Linked DNA regions of Kluyveromyces lactis. The protein of the gene in region 2 interacts with the protein of the main gene of each other region in a pairwise test. Links are inferred from orthologs where the notes say so. Each region holds a gene or a part of one and is shown on either strand. Other genes may lie near its edges. The genes, in order: SAS2, RLF2, CAC2 and MSI1.

What was found.
Region 1: the proteins of RLF2 (region 2) and SAS2 interact in binary tests that used the Saccharomyces cerevisiae proteins (3 or more experiments, as listed by UniProt). The link is inferred for Kluyveromyces lactis from reciprocal best matches to the Saccharomyces cerevisiae genes RLF2 and SAS2.
Region 3: the proteins of RLF2 (region 2) and CAC2 interact in a two-hybrid assay, tested with the Saccharomyces cerevisiae proteins (2 studies listed by BioGRID). The link is inferred for Kluyveromyces lactis from reciprocal best matches to the Saccharomyces cerevisiae genes RLF2 and CAC2.
Region 4: the proteins of RLF2 (region 2) and MSI1 interact in binary tests that used the Saccharomyces cerevisiae proteins (3 or more experiments, as listed by UniProt). The link is inferred for Kluyveromyces lactis from reciprocal best matches to the Saccharomyces cerevisiae genes RLF2 and MSI1.

The regions. Positions count from the first base shown.
Region 1 is NC_006042.1:1,597,987-1,603,350, reverse strand, and holds SAS2 (histone acetyltransferase), read right to left. Parts: upstream 3,091-5,364; coding exon 2,131-3,090; downstream 1-2,130. Other genes in the region: DNA helicase RAD5, read left to right, coding at 1-2,064; ATP-dependent RNA helicase ECM16, read left to right, coding at 3,455-5,364. UniProt on the Saccharomyces cerevisiae protein: Histone acetyltransferase (HAT) subunit of the SAS complex, a multiprotein complex that acetylates 'Lys-16' of histone H4 and 'Lys-14' of histone H3. The SAS complex is however unable to acetylate nucleosomal histones.
Region 2 is NC_006040.1:177,593-183,690, reverse strand, and holds RLF2 (Rlf2p), read right to left. Parts: upstream 4,812-6,098; coding exon 3,003-4,811; downstream 1-3,002. Other genes in the region: serine C-palmitoyltransferase LCB2, read left to right, coding at 1-1,346; RRT8 (Rrt8p), read right to left, coding at 1,676-2,209; KLLA0_D02068g (uncharacterized protein), read right to left, coding at 5,210-6,098.
Region 3 is NC_006041.1:981,559-987,344, reverse strand, and holds CAC2 (Cac2p), read right to left. Parts: upstream 3,677-5,786; coding exon 2,195-3,676; downstream 1-2,194. Other genes in the region: SAP30 (Sap30p), read left to right, coding at 222-722; CUE1 (Cue1p), read left to right, coding at 1,167-1,823; KLLA0_E11155g (HAD domain phosphoesterase family swiss army knife RNA repair protein), read right to left, coding at 4,649-5,786. UniProt on the Saccharomyces cerevisiae protein: Acts as a component of the histone chaperone complex chromatin assembly factor 1 (CAF-1), which assembles histone octamers onto replicating DNA.
Region 4 is NC_006041.1:2,091,636-2,097,089, reverse strand, and holds MSI1 (Msi1p), read right to left. Parts: upstream 1,845-5,454; coding exon 591-1,844; downstream 1-590. Other genes in the region: PGI1 (glucose-6-phosphate isomerase), read right to left, coding at 2,180-3,847; KLLA0_E23497g (DUF5315 domain-containing protein), read right to left, coding at 4,384-4,779; GPI2 (phosphatidylinositol N-acetylglucosaminyltransferase), read left to right, coding at 5,088-5,454. UniProt on the Saccharomyces cerevisiae protein: Acts as a component of the histone chaperone complex chromatin assembly factor 1 (CAF-1), which assembles histone octamers onto DNA during replication and repair.

The DNA.
Region 1 (5,364 bases), on a different chromosome or scaffold from region 2:
GGGAATAGTATGAATCCACTATGGAAGAAATTCCGCTGGCCATCTAATTCAAAACAAGGGACTCCAAACCACGAAGATGATTGCTTCTTTTATGCTAATTTATACACTGGTGAGTTTTCTATCGAGAAGCCGGTCATTAAGACGATAATCAATGGAGGTATTTTGGCGGATGAGATGGGTCTAGGGAAAACAATATCAGCTTTAGCATTGATTTGTACTGCTAGCTATGATGAGGCTCATGAAAAGAAAATTGAGTCAACCAAAAAGCCTTCTATGAAGGAGATGTCTTCTCAAGTGGATTCCTCTCCATTACGCCATTCTCAACATAAGCATGACACTTATGCTTACAGGACGACGTTGATAGTAGTGCCGATGTCCTTATTGAATCAGTGGCAATCAGAATTCGAAAAGGCCAACAAGGACCTCAAAAAACGTTGTGAAATTTATTACGGGAATAATATTAAAGATTTAAGGGCGTATGTGCTTGGCCCCAACGCTCCCTCAGTAATCATAACTACTTATGGGATAATTCAGAGCGAATATGGGAGAACCTCAACATCGGGATTATTCAATGTGGTCTTCTTTAGAATAATATTGGATGAAGGTCATACGATTAGAAATAGAAGTACAAGGACATCTAAAGCTGTCATAGCCTTGCGGAGTTCCAGAAAATGGATCTTGACAGGAACACCAATCATCAATCGACTTGACGATCTATTTTCCTTAGTTCAGTTCTTGAACTTAGAGCCCTGGTCTCACATCAACTATTGGAAGCGTTACGTTTCAGTTCCTTTCGAGAAAGGTAACTATGCGCAGGCATTTGATGTCATAAATGCAGTATTGGAGCCTGTGCTTCTCAGAAGAACGAAGAATATGAAGGATGTTGATGGCAAACCTTTAGTCTCTTTACCTCCAAAGGAAGTAATCGTCGAAAAGTTGCAACTTTCATCCAGTGAGAAAAGAGTTTATCAATCCATGTTAGAAGATGCGGAAAACTCTGTTAAAGAAGGGTTGGCCAAAGGTGATCTATTGAAGAACTACACTAATATCTTGGTCCATATTTTAAGACTTAGACAAGTCTGCTGTCATTTGGATTTACTCAAAAAGACACCAGATCTCGGAGACCCAGATCTTGAAGATCTGGAGAACTCAACTCAAAACATCTCCTCCATCCTCATGCCAAAAAATATTAAGTCACCAAAAAGTTCCATTTCTCAAGATAAATTGGATGCTTTAAGTGCGAACTTTCGTGATATTCACAGCGCTTCAGAGCAATTACCTTCTTTTGAATGTGCTATTTGCACCACTGAGTGTATTGAACCGCTGTCTGCGGTCTCTATAACAGAGTGTCTCCACACATTTTGTGAACCTTGTTTGGCAGAATACATTGAATTTCAGCAAAATAAAAAACTATCCATCAACTGTCCATATTGTAGAATGCCGATCTCAGAAGCTAATGTGTTAAAGCTAAAGGAGCCAATTGATGCTGAAAGAGGATATGAACTAATTTCGTTTCATTCACATTTCCAATCGACTAAAATTAAAGCTTTATTGAGGCATCTCAAGCAAATACAAGAAACTTCTCCTGGTGAACAAATAATCGTATTTTCTCAGTTCTCATCATTCCTAGACATTCTAGAAATAGAGCTACGTTCGCATTTGCCAAGAGATCAGGTAATTATTTACAAATTCGACGGACGGTTAGATATGAAGGAACGGACTAGAATCTTGGAACAGTTCCACGATAAGGATTTGAGTTGTATAAAGTTATTACTTTTGTCGTTGAAAACTGGAGGTGTGGGATTAAATTTGACTTGTGCATCAAGAGCGTTTATGATGGACCCATGGTGGTCTCCAGGTATGGAAGATCAAGCGATTGATAGAATACATCGTATTGGTCAGCAGCAAACTGTCAAAGTTGTCCGGTTCATTATCGATAATAGTGTAGAAGAGAAAATGTTAAGAATACAGGAAAGAAAGAGAATGTTAGGGGATATTGTTGAGGGTGATGAGGCAGAAAGGAGACAGAAGAGGATCGAGGAAATCCAAATGTTGTTTCAATAGACTATCATGACATTCAATCATATAGAAGCCTTTTAGGGCTTTGCATTTAAGCTGTTATTTAATTCGTTAATCATCAAGTAGTAGATATTCATCTTTGATCATAAATCCATGGGATACCTTGTTGCGTCTTGCCCATGAACGGATGATATTGAGTCTTATTTCAGAATCACTTAAACAATCAAGATATTTGAGAGCTTGAATTATATCATTGATTCTAAAACCAGTGGCCTCGGAAAGATCCTTCAAAGTGACCTGGGCCACATCTTTCAAATTACCTTCAGTCAACTGCCAAACTATTGAGAAAGACCAAAATTTAAGATAGCCAATTAAACCGAAAGGAGATAGAGGAACTTCAGGACCCGAAATCAGACCCTGACATCTTGATAAAGTGTAGGAAAACTCAATCAAGAGAGTACCCAATCTTCTTCTTTGATAGGGCGGAAAGACAAGAATACATGCAAGGTTATTTTGGTGGTAGGAATATAAGTCTTTTGAAAAAAATGCCATCGGTACTGTAGAATTGTTCTCATACACAATATAGAATTCGAAATGCTTAACTTTGAAGTAGACAGACTTGTTATCAAGAAATAGCTTAGTAAATAGACATAAGCATTGGCAGAAAACTTCATGCTTAGAACCTTTTACCCTTCGTATAGTGTATTCGGGGCTTCTGTATTTTATTCTACCGGGTGGCTTATTCTTATATCGGCAAAAGCACTCATGTGCGATTAACTCTGCTTCATCATCAGTGTACTTGAAACAATATTCACATACGTATAGGGTATCAATCCAATACTGATCTTCAAACTTCTTTTCAGTAGGGCTTTGTTTTGCGGTGTGCTCATTGTTCGATTCCTTGAAGCCCAAGGTCCTCTTATTTCTTCCAAAATAAACATTACTCCCGTACCAAGTTGCAAATCTTTTATTCAAGCCAAATTGGACGTGCCTAATATTAGGCTTGTCAAGAATACCATATATTTCTTCATCCTCTGTTGAGCTGTTGTGCTTATCAGGTTTGGGAACCATTCATTAATGATTTGAAAAGAGGCAAAAAATGCGATTTATCACGTTTCCCAAATTTAATGAGTACTTGAAAACCCAATTAACGGTGGAATCAACTGCTCTTTGAACTTAAATGTACAAAAGATTGCCTATATCTTTGAATTATCAAAACGTTGAAAGCGACTTTCTTTTTTTTTTTTTCATCTTCCTTTATGGCAGAAAAAGCTTTAAAGCTCATCGCATCTCATCGCATCCAAGCTCACCTGCATCTATATATCAAAATCTCGTTGATAACAGGCTGGTAGTCTGAATGTTATAGGCCTCTGTGACATTAACAGTCAAGAGAAGTACCTCGCACGTTAAACGGTCAAAAAATTGAACAACAAACATGGGTACCTATAGGAAGCGCTGGAATGAGAAAGCACGCGCGGGTCAGATGTCTAAGTTGAAGGAGTTGAAGAGAGTAAGGAATAGGCAGTTCACCCGTGCACTTGAAAATTCTTCCGATGCTGATTCTGAAGAAGGTAATTCATCTGAAGATGAACATCATGAATCACCCGATCATCAGGAAGATACGAACGCTGCTGTATTGAAACCCATGACGGAGGAAGAGAAACAAGAGAAAAAGCGTAAATTGGAAGAGCTATTCACACCTAAGGAAACGAAGGTCTCTAGGACGAAGAAAAAAAGGTTAGAGAAGTTCATCGAGCATCAATTGAAAAGAGAGGAGAAAAAAGTTTTGATAGAAAAACTTCAGGACTATAAAATTGATACTAAGCTTTTGACAAGTTCTAAGATTTTGGGACAAGGAAGGCAAACTAAGAGGCAAGGGATTGAAGAAGCCCTCAAATTAGAAAGAAATGGACGTGGTGATGAAACTACCAGGGAAATTCTTTACGATGAAACTGAGGTAAGGGATTGGTATCAAGATCATCCAGAAACTAGGCCCAGTCAGGAAAGCACAGCTGAAAATTGCAATTCGGATAGTGATGAAACGGACCATACCAGTTCAGATCACCCTATTTCGGCAAATACTGGGGGATTTATTGATAATAGACCCAGTAAATTTGGTGGGTCAGGTTTTGGTTTTGGATTCGGTAATGCAAAGGTGGTGAATAAAAGGGCCTCGAAGAAAAGGTATAACTGGAAGCAAAAGGTAGAGCAAGAAGAACGTAGAAGGCGTAAACTGGATGATGATCAGGATTTTGAATCTGACGAAAGTGAATCAGAAGAACATTCATCCACTGCAGAAAGTGAACCTGATGAGAGTGAATCTAATAGTAATGCTGATAGTCACAGCGATGATGAGTCGAGTGAGTCTGACGGCGAGGAAAGATCGGATTCAGAAATAGCGCAGTGCAGAAACGTAAGTTCTTCAGTTGCCCAAGAATTTAAAGAGTGGGCAAATCAGGAAATTAAAAAGCTTGAAGGTAGAGATGTAGAAATGGTTATGCCTTCCTCCAACATCAAGGTCGATAGGACCGAGAGACCTGAAGACTTTGAAGATGGACTCAAAGCAGATGAATTTAATGTGAACGAAAATTCAACACGTAAGGCTTTTTATGTCAAGGTACGGAGATCTGATGCTGTTCAAGCTGTGAGAAGCGCACTACCTGTTTTCGCCGAGGAACATAGAATTATGGAAGCTATCCATCATAATGACGTTGTAATCATTTGTGGTGAAACTGGTTCAGGTAAAACGACACAGGTACCGCAGTTTCTTTACGAGGCAGGATATGGTAATTCGTCCTCAACTGACACGCCTGGGATGATTGGAATAACACAACCTAGAAGAGTGGCCGCTGTCTCTATGGCTGGACGTGTTACTAATGAGATGGGTGATCATGGCGAATATGTAGGATACCAAATTCGGTTCGATTCTTCTACCAAGGATAAAACAAGAATGAAATTTATGACTGATGGTGTTTTGCTAAGAGAGATGATGAACGATTTTAGACTTTCTAAATACTCTTCTATCATTATCGATGAAGCTCACGAGAGGAACATCAATACAGATATTTTGATTGGTATGTTAAGTCGTTGTGTCAGCTTACGTGCTAAGGAGCATGCAACTGATCCGGCTAAGTACAAAAAACTTAAACTAATTATCATGTCTGCCACCTTGAGAGTATCAGATTTTAGTGAAAACCCTACTTTATTCCCTGTTTCTCCACCTGTCTTAAAGGTCGACGCCAGGCAGTATCCAGTGGCTGTACATTTCAATCGTAGAACAGCTTATAACTATGCTGAAGAGGCTTTCAGGAAGACGTGTAAAATACATCAAAGGTTGCCTCCTGG
Region 2 (6,098 bases):
AAAGAATTGACGATTGCTTCTCTAGACCTACTACTGGCGTACCTGGAAGATTCATCCGCTGCTTAGACCGTGTCTCTCACAACTTGAACGACTACTTCACGTATCCTGGTACTACATCAATGTGTCTAAATCTTTCCTCGTACAACTACTTAGGTTTTGCACAATCAGAGGGTCAATGTACCACTGCAGCGCTAGAAGCCACCGATAAATACGGTGTTTATTCTGGTGGTCCAAGGACCAGAATTGGTACTACTGATTTGCACGTCATGACCGAAAAATACGTCGCACAATTCGTAGGTAAAGAAGATGCAATTTTGTTCTCTATGGGGTACGGTACCAATGCTAATTTCTTCAATTCGTTCTTAGATAGCAAATGTTTGGTTATCTCTGATTCTTTAAATCATACCTCTATTAGAACTGGTGTCCGTTTATCAGGAGCAGCTGTTAAGACATTCAAGCATAATGATATGCGCGCATTAGAGAAGTTGATCCGTGAACAAATTGTTCAAGGTCAATCGAAGACTCATCGTCCTTGGAAAAAAATTATCATTTGTGTGGAAGGTTTATACTCCATGGAGGGTACCATGGCTAACTTGCCTAAGCTTGTTGAATTGAAGAAAAAATATAAATGCTACCTTTTCGTTGATGAGGCTCACTCTATCGGTGCAATGGGTCCATCTGGACGTGGTGTATGCGATTTCTTTGGGATACCTTGTAGTGATATTGATATTATGATGGGCACACTTACGAAATCTTTTGGTGCCGCTGGTGGATACATTGCTGCTGACAAATGGATCATCGACAGATTTAGATTGGATTTAACAACACCTCACTATGGAGAGCCTACTCCGGCTCCTGTGTTGGCCCAAATCGCTTCATCTTTAAAGACCATTACGGGAGACATCAACCCTGGCGAAGGTCAAGAAAGATTACAACGTATTGCATTCAACGCTCGTTATCTACGACTTGCGCTTCAAAGGTTAGGCTTCATTGTTTACGGTATTGCCGATTCTCCGGTCATTCCTATGCTATTATACGCACCAAGTAAAATGCCTGCATTCTCCCGAATGATGCTGCAACGGAAAATTGCAGTGGTTGTTGTCGCATACCCAGCCACCCCATTGATCGAGTCGAGAGTCCGCTTCTGTGTATCTGCGGCTCTAACAAAAGAAGATATCGATTATTTATTACAGCATATCAATGAGGTTGGAGATAAGCTCTTCTTAAAAGTGTCCAGTGGAAAAGCAGGCGGGTCATTAGATGGCAAACCTCCAAGGTGGAATATTGATGAAGTCATTAAGAGAACACCTACTGACTGTAAGGACGATAGCTTCTTCAGAATATGATTAACTTCGTCCGGTATTCAGGTCTTTTATTTTTGTTGACCTATTGATAGTATTTTCACCAGTTTACCTCACAATTAATCAAACCTGTCCGTCATTCAGACATCTGTTTTTATATGATGATCTTCCTAGCATTCGTGGTCCTAATTCGCTATTCTTATCGGTCGGCAGCCGTCTTTATACGTCCAAGGACATACTCATCACAAGATCACAGTAACTATAATTATTCATAACCATCATATACACTCAAACATAAAGATTTCAATTTTAAACACACATAGTATGTAAAAGAACTTCTCAAGCTATCTTATTCGATCTATTGAGGGGTGGTTTTATAACTGAACCCTTTTAAGCTTTATGTCATCATTAGCCCAAACACCAACGGCAATGACATTACTTATCATCAGAAGAGCCGAAAAACCAGGTATCAATTCAAGTAGTCCCGCTGTCAATCCAAACGCCCATAGTTGGCCTAATCTGGAGTAATATTCGTCACGTTTAGCTTTGTCACTTAATCTTCTTCTGATCATCCATACATCGTAGTACCCATACGCTCTGTCTGGTGTTTGCAATATAGTAGCGGCCAATGGGCCAACGATTGGAAGTAAAGATATTAAAGTTATGAATATGAAAACAAATAACCACCTTAAAAACGAAAAGGTGTTGAATGGCACATCATGGATCCAAAATTCTATATTGTTCAAATGCAATTCAGGACAGGCAGGAAGCTGTCGTCTCTTTAAAGAATTTAGCGTCTCTATCTGCCCTTTCCTTAATAGAGTCAATTCGAATATATCATTGGTGAACTTGGGTAACACAAAATTCCGAACACCTCTCAACGTCCATGCATTACATTGCAATAGCATCTGTAACACGGCAATTGCAAGACCTACTGGACCTAGCAATAAAATCTGCCAACCGGCCAAAATCGGTAGAAGAAACGCAGCATACAACCACAACAAAGCGAAAAATAAGATCAGGTAACAGACACTTGTAACAAGCCCGTAATACCAGTATCTATAACATATTAAAAATTGAAAGACTCCCTATTAATTGGCTTTGTTAGTATGCTTTTTTAATTGTCAACATGACCAGCTAATATCATGATTGAAACAGCGGTTTGAGTCATAGGTACATACAAGGAAAGGATACCATATGGACTTCGTCTGGAAGAAATCATGAAAAAAGTTGGTTCTGATGCTGTCAACTCTCCAGATGACAGTTGCATATAATTCAAATAAAAATCCCACGGTCAAATTATATGTTTCCTTCCATATTGAATCAATATCTCGAACGGTATTGTAGGAATTCGGATCTCTTCCTCTATTGGGTCTAGTATAATCTGGGTAGTCTTGTAAATAGACCGGATCCATGGTATATCAGATATAACGCTTTGAGAGTGTTGCTCTTTGTTTTGGTTGTTCTTAATGGGAAGAATAAAAAGACTGTTTTGATTGCGACACAAATCTTTTAAATCTGACACTTCTTGGTAATTATAAGAAACCAGTATAACAGCAGACATAAGATATCTAGTATTAAAAAATAGACGTCTCTTTTAGACTGAGACATCGAAGGTTTGTGTAGATGTGTGATATAGTTGTGTTGGAATAAAAGCACCCCATAACAATTGTACGCTGATGTTATACTATTTACTTACGACTAACTTAAAGGAATACCGGTCAGTAGCGCTTCGTCATTGGCTGTCGGTACCTCTGGAGTGGATAATCTTGGTGTCGGAGAGCTCTTTAGATGTTCCCAATTGTTCATATCCTTTACTTCCCACCTACGGTCTCCCTTGGTAGATTTTGCAGCATATTCTTTAACAGAGTTCTTTATCGTATCCTTCTTATACTGTGGTAGATGCTTTTGGATAATCTCAACAACGGTGCTCAACGAAAATGTACAGTCATGCACTTGTTCCAGCAACTGCAAAAGATGTTTAGGTTCTGTGATTAGACTTTTGGATTTCTTAGTTGCTGGGTTTTTCGAAGAAGTTGTTTCAAATGAACCGTCCTCCACAGCAGGTCTCTTGTTGGGAGCCTTATATGGATCTACGGGGAAACATTGATCTTGGAACATACATTCTACGGAGACCAATGCAAAATACTGTTTAGACTCGTCATCGAGTTTATCCGTATCCTTTCGCAGTTTTATTGTCGGTATCAAGGGACCGACAAACTTCTTACGTGCCATATTTTCATTTTCATCTTTATCTAGGAAGCCATCCATTTCATTGTCGCCTCCCTCTTCATCCTCTTGATCCTCATCCTCTTCATCTTCATCATTTTCTAAATCGTCGACACCGCCTTCTTCTTCCTCTTCATTAACCCAATCGAGATCAGAATCATATCCATAATCGAATCCTGTTCCCTCAGTACTGAAAGGATTATTGTTTGGTAATGTCAATTTCTTGGAATACGTCCCCACATACGGAGGCCTTACATTTTCATAGAACTTGATGAATTTTTGTGGTACTTCGTTAAGTAACGCTGATAATTCTTCGTCCGTCTTCTTCTTCGAAGTCATGGTTTGCAGAACTTCTACTGCCGTGAGCTTTATTTCGTAACCGTGGTGGCATTTGAAAGAGTTCATCCACTCTACGCTTGATATGCGGTCTTCTGTCTTCATCAGTTTATCTATACGTGGTACATTTTCTTTAAGCTTCTGAGGGTCCATTTTCCAAGTATTGGCCATGATAACGTCTGACTTGATATAAAAGGGTAAGAAATGCTTCTTGAAATCACTTGTAACTGATTGCTCAGAAGAAGATACTGTAGCTTTTTTGAAAAAGTTCCCGATTCGGGACTGAGATCTCTCTTTAGTCTCCTCCTTTTTACGTTTTTCTTCCTCTTTCTTCAGGCGTTCTTCCTCTTTCTTTAGTCTCTCTTGTTCTTTCATCTCCTTTTCTTCTAATCTCTTCTTTTCACGTTCTTCTTTCTCCTGCTGCCTTTTCTTCTCACGGTCTTCCTTTTCTTGAAGCCGCTTTCGCTCGCGCTCTTCCTTTTCTTGTTGTTTCTTAAGCTCGCGCTCTTGTTTCTGTCTGTCACGCTTCTGCTTCTCTTCAAGCTTCTTCCTTTCACGTTCCAATCTTTCTTCTTCTTTCCTTTTCGACTTAGCTTGCTTCTCTTTTTGTCTCCTAAGTTCTCGCTCTGCTTTCTTGTTTGCCATCGTGGATGCAGAGTCATTGTCTTCTGCACCGCCTGTCTTCTCTGTTTCTTGTTGACTATCTGCTGCATCTAATGTAGCAGTATCACTTTTTTGAGAGTCCATTTCCTCGTCTTTTTCTCCTTCCTCCGGTTCTGAAGAGTTTAGTGGTTCTAAAGTATCAGATTCTATATCAATTTCGATAGCAGAATCCTGGCTAATAGCATTGACAGTAGTAGCCTTGTCAACTTTCCCAGTGTTCTGAAAGAATGAGAGAATGCCCCGTCTCTTCTGGTTCGATACTGATGGTTTCATTTCACTCATGGTTGGGCTACCGACGTATTGCAAAGATGACAAGATTATCAAAGGTATATGTGTTCAGCAGCTTATGCCAGGCTCCTATTGAGGCGGTTTGTAGAGCCTCAGCGTCTTGTCATTGAATGGTGATCTGTATAACTTCTCTAGTGATGCGTCAAAACGCTAAATGGAATTCTTTACATATTTCACTTTCGTGTCAGTAGGGTAACATTGTTGTGATAATTGTGTCACAGGACATAATACAGATGATGCGACTAAGAGATAAGTTTATACAGTATTTTAATGATACGGGTTAACATCCCAGGCTTAGGATTTTTAGAGATTTATATAATAAAGGTTTGGAACTAGATGAGTTGTTTTGTATAAGGGTATTGATGTTGCTTATTATAGCGGAAAAGCTAGCGTCACAACGAATTAGTCAGTGACGTTGTGTTTTCCAAATCAGTTCCAGTTATACGTTCAGCCAAAAGTAGTTGTAAGGGATCTGAGAGGTCTACGTCCAGATCATCATCGGCATCCATGTCTTCCTGTGAAGCTGTCTTGAATGGTGTCAATTTGATATTTCTCATGCGTTTCTTTGCCGACCTTGCTGGTTTTGAAGATGAGTTTGAATAACCAATAGGTAGTATTTCAGGATTATGAGACTGTCGGTTCAGTTTTGAATCTGATTTTATCTTCAAAGGAACCTGTTGTGGCTGCTGATATTTCATTTCTCTTGCTGCCCTTTGGTTAGGATTTGGTAATTCTCCATATAGAGAAATAATCACATCCAACATCTGATCTCTGATTCGTTTCATGGAGCTATGACGTGGTATTTCATACTCTTGTGGATCCAAAAACAATGTTGCCAAGTAATCCATTTTTCTCTCCACTGTTTTCAACTCTAATTCTCTGTTCAACGCCGCTATATTTAATCTCTGTACCCTGAGTAACCCTAAGAGTACATTAGAAAATACTTCACATTTTTCGTCCTTCTTCAAGGAGTTATCATAAAACTTATCGAGCTCTTTTTCTATCGGGACCACTTCTTCATTTAAAACATGGGAGTTTTTATACATGTTGATGGAATCCCGAATAAAGGGTAAAATATTCCTAGTGAACAACATATGGTTTTTTTCCTTTCTTGATATTGTAGTACTAGCAACGGTTGAGGTCTCTCTAACGTCATTTCTATTCCCATCGTATGATGATGATGAGAAATGGGACACGTAATCTGAATTTGTCACTGTAGCCCCAGACATACCGGGAATTTTGTTGCTTTCCGGATGGTAGTACAAAGGGTCTTTTAAACTT
Region 3 (5,786 bases), on a different chromosome or scaffold from region 2:
ACGCAGGGACTGCATGTATGTTCTTTGTTTAATGTAGTCATCCTCTATATCTAATTCCAAGTTATTCCCACTTATCTAAGAAAAAAAAGTGTCTTAAGTACAAAATTTTGATCTTTTTGAACATTTGTCCAGGTGGTAAAGGGCATTACCATGTACTGCTCCATACCATCTCAGGTGTCAAATAGAGTGGGTGCTGTACAGTCACAAGGATCTTACACGACATGGCACCAAGGGGACACAATAACTCAAATTCAGAGTCCGAATCTAAGGGCAAATCATCGAACAATGCAACTTCAGGTGCATCGACCAGGACCAGTGTGAAACAAAGACTCTCGAGTGCTCAACAGCAATACTTGAAGGACTTGAACAAGAAACATATACATAACAATCATCCGAAGAATGAGCCGCTCCCAAATCCGATGGATTTCGAACAATACTCCGATGAATTTTTAAGGCGGTATAAGGATAGGTTCCAATTGAAATCTCCAGATAATCTATCAATACAAGGGTACCTTCTAGGATCAAGGATTGGGAAACATACTTACTCGGCGAAACGAAACCAGAAAAATGTACCAGATGCAAGGGTTACGAAGCAGGAGCTTGCGAAAGGTGTCAGGGAACACTTCGATAACTATACCGTTCGAGAAGCGGAATGCCTTCCTCAGTTTATTTACAAAGTACAAAATCAGAAAAAGAAGTTCAGAATGGAGTTTAAGGGATGAAGCGGTGGTGTTGCATAGCTCACTTCCATCTTGGGCATGTAATTCGACATCAGCCTAATGGCTTCATCTATTTGTAACATATATGAATAATATAGAACGTAATAATCAAGGATATCAACGGAAATCTATTTGGAACTAGCGTTCTATACGCTGATTATATGCACTGCAGTGAAAAGGACAGATTGCACAGCAAGCTGTACACACGTCCTTCTGCTCTTTAACATTTTTTTCCTTTACAGGTCGTTTACACAATTTTTCTCTTTAATAAGAAATGAATGATATTAATTATCATTCACAAGTAAAAACTGTAACAAGACAAGTATTTGCTCCATAACCAGGCATACTGTGTTTTCCTGTCTCCAGAATAATTAATATCACAGCAATATATTGAGAGCAGACAGAAATTATTGTGTTAGATAGAGTATCTGAATTAAAACTTTAATCATGGCGGATCAAAGTTTCACATTATTTATCATTTTGGCTATTGCCGGTTATATTGCTGTGAAATGGTTTTTGAGCAATAACGAACAACATCCATCCATCCAAATCAATGGTTTTTCTTCGCAATCAGACTCTGCCACGGCTTCAGGTACCGCCGCGTCAAGTAATGCCGCTTCAAGACAGACTAGAAGGCGTATTCGTCGTAGAGTCAACGATGATATGATCGAAGTGGTACAATCCTTGGCTCCACATCTACATCCAGAACAGATCAGATACGACTTGGAACAAACCGGATCAGTTGAAACTACTGTAGAAAGATATCTCTCGGGTAGAGATATGCCATTCCCACCAGATTACGTCCCAGAATCTGAAACAGGTGGCAATTCTTCCAATGGTCAAAATCAATCGACCGGAAGCTCTGTAACTACAGGAAACAATACAAACAACAATAGCACATCTACAGATCCACGGAAAAGATCCAACATTAAAGCTGACAATCTGCTAAAAAAATTCAACGTGGATCCACAAGAAGATCTTTCAAACTTGAATCCCAACGATCTTTCCATAGAAGAAAGAAAGAGATTAATGGTATGGCAGGCAAGAAAGAGTATGGAACTAAAGGTGGAAAACAGTGAATACCTACAGTCTCTACTGAAATGATAGGTACAATTGTGTAGATATCTATAAATCGTACATATACCAGTAAATGAAATCCATTCTCAATTACATGCTAGAGTGTGTCCTTTACAGCTAGATGTCTTTCCAGAGAGAAATGTTGATCACGTGACTAACCATTTTTTTGCATTTCCTATTTTGTTTCTATATTGTTTCCCAGACCTTTCTGTTTCTACCTCCTAGAACTGCCAACACCCTGATTCTTGTCACGGGCTTGGCAATAAGGCAATCGGCTGGTGTCTCGAATCTTAACTCGGCGATTATTACTTACTACTATACACAGTAATTATTGCGTAGAGAACAGTTCAAAGTCACGTGTTATTCCGCCATCTCCCTCTCTATAAACTAATCTAGTTCTATTTAGGTTGATCTGATGTGACGAGAGTAGGTTGAACCCTGCGTTTGAGCTTCTCCTTTCCAACTGTGGTTGCAGCTTCTGAGACAAGCTGCGAGATCGATCTTTTAGCTGGTGAAGGGTTTGGAGTTTCGGCGGCACCGGTACTAAGATTTACGATACTAGCCTTTTGTGATGATTCTGGTTGTGATTGTGATTGCGATTGTGATTCGAGTTCCTTCGTCAAGATTGGTATAGATTGATCTTTCAAAGGTGTGCCAAAATCATTGTCTGTGAAGTGAATATATGAGCAGAACCCGTCTGTGCTTGATATCATTAGTAATGTTCCGTCTTGGCTCCACGCAAGATCTGTTATGGGGGTATAATGCAAATTTCCTGCGATCGCTATAGGACTGGTATTTTGTGTGTCGTACACCAGCACTTCATTCGTAGTTGCTACAGCGAATACCAGTGTATAAGGTGCTTTCACCCATTCAGACGCGGTTTCGTACATGATAGGATTAAACTTGACCACTAATGCCGGTTTTTGTAGAAAGGGTAGTGAAAACACGGGTTTGTTTGAATTTGAAGTTAGAGAAGCCCTTGTGTAAATATATACGGCATTCGCGTACTCTGGGTTATTATTTGAGGCATCCGTTTGTTCATCATTTCTGAAGACCCCAGCTGGTACACATAAGAGACTGCCGCATGGTGACATGGACAGCCTTCTGAAAAATGACGGAAGGGTTTCGTTATGGAATAAGAAAGTCACCTTCGACTTATCAAAATCGAGTTCTTTTTCACCAGGATTTTTCCTCCTTGGTAGTTCTGATTTTAATATTTTATTCACTAATTGTAAGCCCTTTACTTCGTTGTCCTCATAAATCATCTTACAAATCGCCAATGATCTGTCTGCAGATTGCGATACGATAAATTCTCCCTGAGGGTCCCATACAATCCCTTGCACGTAATGATTATGCTCCGTTATATGTCCTACCACTTTTCCCTGATCCACATTGAACACTCGTACGGTGTTATCCAAAGATGCAATAGCTATGCACGTTCCCTGAGGGTTCCATGAAATATCATAAATCTCGGCATTCGAGGCTGACCCTGACCTTAATCGCTTCCATACAGCCCACGATTCCTTAAAATCTTGGAATTCATCATCATCTACACCAAATTCCTTTACCATAGTCTCGTTCTTCTTCCATAGTAACAATAACCCATCGTCTCCCGCCGTGGCTAACGTGTCACCTTGCTTATTGAATCGACAAACGTTGACAGCTTGTTCGTGCTGCGTCAACGACGAAAGAAAATCAATTGTCTCTATCTTCCCATCATTTTCGCTCTCATTCAATTGCCAGACCCTGATTTTATTGTCACCTCCCGAAGTGAACAACCGTCTAGTGTTCTGGTTAGTCTCTGATAAGGGTTGAAAACATAACGAGTATATCGGATGAGAGTCATGCCAATATATCTGTAAACTCTCGGATTGTACCATTTTTTCCACTTTCTCTACTCGAACTGAGATAAATTGAACTAGTCCTATCTTATGAGCTCAGAATTACTCTACTAGTGCGTTAACAAATTTCGTTATAACTCTTTAGATCAACGTTACCTTTCCCTTCAATGCCTGATATTCTTTTTTTTTCCAGATTGTTTACGTGTATCGTCTTTTACTGAGGAATTCGATTTCTTAAGGAAAGAATATCAGCGATACAGCAGCAAATTGGATATTTAAATGAATATATACATTGCATGATGGGAACCTTATGCCATTAGAAATATTCCAACACTGAATAAAGGTAGTGAACACGACATACAACCCCCTTCCGCCTGTCTTTTCTCTTTTTTTCAATATAATAGCCCTATAGTAGACTGAAATAACAGTTTTTTTCAATATAAATTCAGTCAGTTTGAAAAAATTTTCAGATCTGTCACCATTACTTTAGTCATAACTCAGGCTCGAGCTGTCTGAAACTGTACTCACAGATCAGATCAGATCAACTGTTGCATCTATTGCAACATTTTATACTTGGGAAGTTTGTAGTGGTATCAGCAGATACCAATGCGTTGAGATTCAGGAGAATTTTACTCAGCGCATCAGTCAAATTCCCAGTAAACTTTTCTTTCAATAGACTACTGGAGCCGTTATTGTGCTTAAATGAACTGCTAACTGGAGAGGTGTGGTACTTCGGGTGTGCACCAATGAAATGTGCATCTGAGGGTCCTTTGAAATACAAGGAACATCCTCTTGGAGTCTTTGTTTACAATTATTTCAATTTATGATAGATCTGTTCGTGAGAACCAGTTCTATACCCTTTGGATTGGAATACAAATGAAGTTCCCCACAATTTTATATTTAGTTTAAAATTATTTATTATAGCCTTGGGTTTATGTTTGTATGTATGTTCTTGTTCTTTTTGTCCTTGTCGTTAACCAGATCTAGTGTCTGACGTCTTGTTTCTAGTACTTATTCAACGTCGCATGCTGTCTTTGCCAGATAATGGTATTTTGGAATAGCTATTGCTGAGAAACTGGGTAGTGAGTGGTTTATTTCAGCAAGAGACCCCCTGTTGTTGATGTGGTCCATCACACTTTGCATATCTTCATCTGAGTAGTCCGAAGTGAACAATATATGGGTTCCCGGTTGTTGGGTCGAGCCGACGGAAAATGCCAATCTTGATGATTCCAAAGAGATTGCTTCACGGATGGACCAGTCTATGACTTTGTTGGGACAGAAGCATGTAGCATCACCAATCAGTTTCCTAAAATCTTCTGTAGACGCTTCTGGTGTCACGGAGTTGTGATTTTGGAACATTTCCACTTGGGACCCAGGTAACGAACCTAATGGTACTATGATCGGAAGTGAGAACGGATACGCTTGATTGGTGTCTTGCGACATTTGAGTAACCAGTTGACGGATCTTGTGTGTTTCTCGGCAATCCAGCAAATACCGAACGGTATTCGAATCTTCATCCAAGGTAAGATTGTCCATTTGGAACCCTAATGAACAAATTGGGCCATGAACCATTTCAAGACCTTCCAACTTCGAACGAACATCCTTGTTGTGTTCGTTAAATATCTTTGCAACGGTACCAATCTCCTTTCCTGGAGGTAAATAATTTATCACCGGTTTTACCGCAATTAATGTATGATTGAAATTACGAGAAGTTTCCCTCTTGTAGTCCTCAAAGAAAAGTTCGAACCCTTCAAGTTGCTGTTTCCTATCATCATATATCACAATCTCATTCACTTCCTTGTAGAAATCCATCACAGAACGCAGGCATGCGATCTTATACTTCATCGTGGTTGGGTAACCAGCTCTCTTAAGGAAAGCAGAATGGAACAATAATTCCCGGCCGAACACGGGATGTTTTAGTAACTTTTCAAAAAGAGGGCTGAACAACAGCTGCTTTCTTCCTGTCATTAGTATCGTCAACGTACCGTTATCCCTATCGTCCCAGGACCTTCTAGCGGAGTCTACGATGTCTTTATTCCAAAATGCTGAGTCATCGACAGAACCCTTTATCCATTCGTCAACCAAAATCTCCAAGAACCTTGGCTCTGACCACCATCCACCGTTACTGAACACATGCGGGCTCAACAGT
Region 4 (5,454 bases), on a different chromosome or scaffold from region 2:
TAGATAAGGATCTAAATGAAAGGGCAGTCAATCAGCTAGTCGAAATAAAACTCAAAATGAACTACAATTCAAGAATAACACAAACGTATGTCTATAACTTCTAACTAATTAAAGGTCAGTTAATTGGATTTCGATGTGTGAAAAGTGTAGGTATTTCCAAATCCTAAAAGTTTCGCCAAAAGTTGAAAGAGAAAATTTTGTTTTCCCTCGAATTGGCCTGGCTGCTGGAAAATAAAAAATGGGCTATACGTAGTGGAAAGTATTGGCATAAAGTAGTATACAACTATAAAACATACAACAGTTGCTGATGGCGTATCTTGTGCAACTAGTATAGAGTTGAAACATGGTAGATTGGCATATCCTTTGTATACCTGTTTGCATAGAAGAGTTGTAGAGAGTTGTAGAGAGTTGTAAAGAGTGGCATCTCGTACCCGGTGATTTGGTCCATGTTCAGTGCTATGATTGGTTATAGGTCACGTGAAAGGAATTCAAGGAAGAGTAACGTGTTTCTTGTGTCGTGCGACACATTTATTATATGCGAATAAACAATACCGATACATGTATATATCGACGACATGTTCCAGTTTAATCTACAATTGTTCTACTAAGTTTGCTGCTGGCTTCCAGATATGAATTGAATTGTCGTTCGATACACTGCACATGGTCCATGGATCATGTTGTGACCATGAAATGTCGTTGACTCCGAGCATGTGACCACCATGGACAAATAATAGCATGTTGTTTTCAGCGTTAGAGTCCTCTTGTTCACCTGATGCATCCCATATCTTCACTAATCCACTCTGTTGATCTGCAGTGGCCAGTATTTGCGGTATCTGAGGGTTCCATTGAATGGCAGAGATGGGATCCTGATCTCCATGTTCCCATTCCTTTATTGGCTCCTTGAAATCTCTTATGTCCCAGATCTTTAACTGGCCCTGAGAATCACCGGTACACAATATCATATCGTTCTTATAGTTAAACTCGATGGCATTGATTCCATCTGTATGTGTAGTACGGTGTAATGTGTCCATTTTCGTATCTTGTCTTATGTCTATCAGTCCAATGACGTTGGATTCTCCGCATGATGCTAAAATGGAAGTGTGGTTTACCATCCATGACACATCATTGACTCCATTCGCGTCCATCACACTCTCTCTTTCAGGTATTTCCATTCTCTGTTTCGACTTATCAAATTTAGTAAGATCCCATACTTTTACTTTCCCGTTACTTTGACATGTAGCTAAGGTACCCTCCAATTGGTAATTCCATGCAAGGGATAAACTCTCGTCCTGTTCATCGTCACCGTTATTTCTGCATTCGATTTCGAATTTCCTGCCTGTGGAAATCTTATTACCATGTTTCGTTCTATCAAATATGTACACTGATCCATTTGATGATGCAGTCCCAATTATATCGGGGTTCTGAGGCATGTACCGACATCTGTTGCAATCACCGTCAGGGTACGTTATTCGTACCTCTTCTTCTAATGTCTTGTCGTTCAGTTTCAATGAATTATCCAGTTTAAATTCCATTTCATCCATGTCGAAGTTATTGATGGAACTCCATTTCATATGATTCATGGTAGATATGGACCCGATGTAAATTGACTCATCCTGCGGAAGTTGCTGCGATGTGAATGAAGATAATAATATCCTTTGTTTGTCATTCGTAAGAGTACGGTCTGGGAAGAATTGGCAGGATAGAGATGGCCATTTCGATGTGTTTGTATTCAAATAGTCGTAGAGCAACTTTGTATTCTTCTTCCAATTGGTATACCTTTGCTGTACTTCATTAGAAATTCCAGAGCCCAGTTCTGGAGGTTCTTCTATAATCAACTCACTCATTGTTGCGTCCTCTATATGCTATGAGCTAGCTTGGTATTGTTATATCTTGTCACAATCTCGATGTCTGTACTCTCGCACTACATCACGCGTTGTTGAATCTTTTGGACGTGTATCATTTTTCATTTTCCTTAATGTAAATATGAAAAAAGAGATTGATTAAGTGAAAACAATTACTTCCAATGTAGTTGATATTCGTGACATTGTCGTATATAAGTCATTCATTGCACATAGCGTTTTGATAAAGAAGTTTATTTAGTTTGGTTGTACGTAAAGATGTGGAATTCTAAGTTCACTGCATATCTTAGGTGAAAAGGAAATTGCATCGCATTCTCACATTAGATCCATTCTTTAAATTGGTTGATCAAACCGTTGGTGGAACTGTCGTGAGAAGAAATCTTGTTATCAGTGGCCAATTCACTACCAATAACCTTAGCCAAAACCTTACCTAATTCAACACCCCATTGGTCAAATGAGTTGATGTTCCAGATAGCACCTTCGGTGAATGTAACGTGTTCGTAGTAAGCAATCAAAGCACCAAGGGTAGCTGGAGTAATCTTTTGAGCCAAGATGGAAGTGGTTGGTCTGTTACCAGAGAAGACCTTGTGAGGTACTAGACCACCAGTGGCACCTTCTGATTTGACCTGTTCTTCATCTTTACCGACCATCAATGCCTCAGCTTGAGCGAAGAAGTTAGATGCTAGCATTTTTTGATGTAGGTTGTTTTCAATTGGGTTATGAGATTGGGCTGCCAAGATGAAATCAGATGGAATCAATTTGGTACCTTGGTGAATCAATTGGAAGAAAGAATGTTGAGCATTGGTAGCTGGTTCACCGAACAAGATAGAACCAGTAGAGTAGTTTGCAAAAACATTACCTCTGGTGACGGACTTACCGTTGGATTCCATAGACAATTGTTGCAAATAAGCTGGGAATCTGTGCAAGTATTGATCGAATGGCGCAACCAAATGTGTTTGAGCATCGAAGAAGTTGTTGTACCAAACAGATAATAGACCACCCAACAATGGAATGTTGTCTTCCAATGGAGTTTCAACGAAATGCTTGTCTACTGCCTCAGCACCCTTCAAGAATGCTTCAAAGTTGTCGAAACCGATGTATAGAGCAACTGACAAACCAATAGCGGACCAAACAGAGTAACGACCACCGACCCAGTTTTCAAAACCGAACATGTTCTTTGTGTCGATACCGAACTTTTCAACTTCAGTAGCGTTAGTGGACAAAGCAGCAAAATGCTTGGAGATATGGGATTGGTCACCACCGTTCTTAGATAAGAACCAGTTCTTAGCACTAGTTGCGTTAGTGATAGTCTCAGCAGTGGTGAAAGTCTTGGATGCGATCAAGAACAAAGTGGTTTCATGGTCCAAATCCTTCAAAGTTTCAGCAATATGAGTACCGTCAATGTTAGAAACAAAGTGTACCTTCAAGTTGGTAGCATAATGTTTCAATGCTTCAGTCACCATAACTGGACCCAAATCTGAACCACCGATACCAATGTTGACAACATCGGTAATAGACTTACCGGTGTAACCCTTCCAAGCACCAGATCTGACTTCTTCGGTGAACTCCTTCATGTGTTGCAACACAGCGTCAACCTCTGGAGTGACGTTGGTACCATCAACGTACATTGGCTTCAAACTTCTGTTTCTCAAGGCAACGTGGTACACAGCACGTCCTTCAGTGAAGTTGATTGGTTCACCGTTGAACATGGCATCTCTCAATGAGGTGACCTTAGCTTCCTTAGCCAATTGGATCAAAGACTTCAAGATTTCATCGTCAACTAAGTTCTTGGAAAAATCAAACAAGATCTTTGAACCATCGTAATTGACAAACGTCTTGGCAAACTTTTCATAACGAGAATTGTCCTTAGCAAACTCGTCCTTAACATTTAGCTTTTTACCCTTTTGTTCGTACAAAGATTGCAATTGGTTCCAGGCTGGCAATTCAGTTGCCAACTTGAAGTCAGAGTAAGTGTTCTTAGAAGCCATTTCTGATATTTGTCTTTTTATTTCTGTTTTAGAATCTATCTTAACAGAACTTTAAAACCTTTTATTGTACTTTACGGTCAGTTAAAAGGTCACTTCAGAATTCAGCGATTAAACCCTAATCACAAATTCCTTTCTACGTGACTCAAGAATACAATCGAAATACCAATTGGAAGAAGCAATTGATCAAGAACCTTCACCAGAGAATATATATATATAAAGAATCCACGATTTAAGTTAACCATTTCCCTCAAATTCGCAGGTGATGGAAAATACCAAATCCTTTTTTTTCTCAACGTTCCTATTATTTTCCATACTACGTTCAATCATCAATTCGTATATCCCATCGTTATTCGGAACAACTTGTAATTTCTGTCAGCTTCCGCTTTTTTTATTTGTTTCGCACCATCCAGTAAACAAATAGTGAAAGGCACGTAGAAGAAACCGGTGGTCCTTGGAAACCTTAGCTTCCACTAATACTCAACAAAAAGTCAGGGTAATTGTGGCACGTGATTCATCACGTGATTTGAAGTATTTATTCAGTTATATCTCTCAATGGTATCTACGATATCATTGATGTGTTTCTGTTGTTCTTCAAGATTTCCTGGGGTCTCTGTTGATTGTCTCTTCATGTGCTGCATCAAGTTCGCATGCATCTGGCGTAAGCGGGTAATATCCTCTTCGAAATTATCCGGGAAAGTAAGGCCAGTATTGCCCTCTCTGGCCATTCTTTTCACATCATCTAGTGTATCTATATCTGTCCATATCCTATCCTTGTCATCCACTTTTGGTGTAGCATGTACGTCGTCTGGAACGGTATCCTTGGGTAAAGTTCTCGGTATGGCTTTAGAATCCGTAGGTCTTCGTTCATTGTTTGAAGATTGCCTGGTTACCTGATCAAACGAATTTGATGTCTCCCTGCTAGATTGATCCATTGGGTATATGTAGCAATGAGTTGAGCAGTAAGTTAGGCTATATCCTTTGTATCTTACTTGTGCGGGTGCTCCCGCTGGCTGTGCTGTGATATTAAGTTGTAATGGATTAGCTTTTTTACGTATCAATCTCTAATTTTAATGATTCGAAAAAGCTAGCGACGACTGTTGAACTGAAGTAACTTCCTGCACTCGCAGAGATTTATCGCGAGTATAGCGGCAAATCTCCAGGTTTCTTTTGTCCAGACTGTAGTGACTATATTGTGCTAGTCGTTTCCCGAATAACAAATTGTCTTCTCTTATAGTTGTTAATGGCTGCGGGGAAACAATGGAAACGGTTATTGTGGTTGAAACAGCCGTTCCCAGATACCTACACTGATCCAAGTTTCTACAAACAATGGGAGAAGTTGAAAATTGAACATGGGCATTTGAGGCCTCACTCCTCGTACAGGTCTGTTTTACTTGATCTCTTCCAGTTTTACCACATGATTATTAATACTATGTTACTCTATATTATATTTGCCTGGTTCTATCATTACAAATACAATCCGATTTTAATTGCTGCCTCAATTTCATCTGTTTCCTTAATAGTTGCCAACAAGAGGGTACCCTGGAAATCCACTATCATCATTATATTTGCAATGTTGACCTTATCTCCAGTGCTTAAATCTTTGTCCA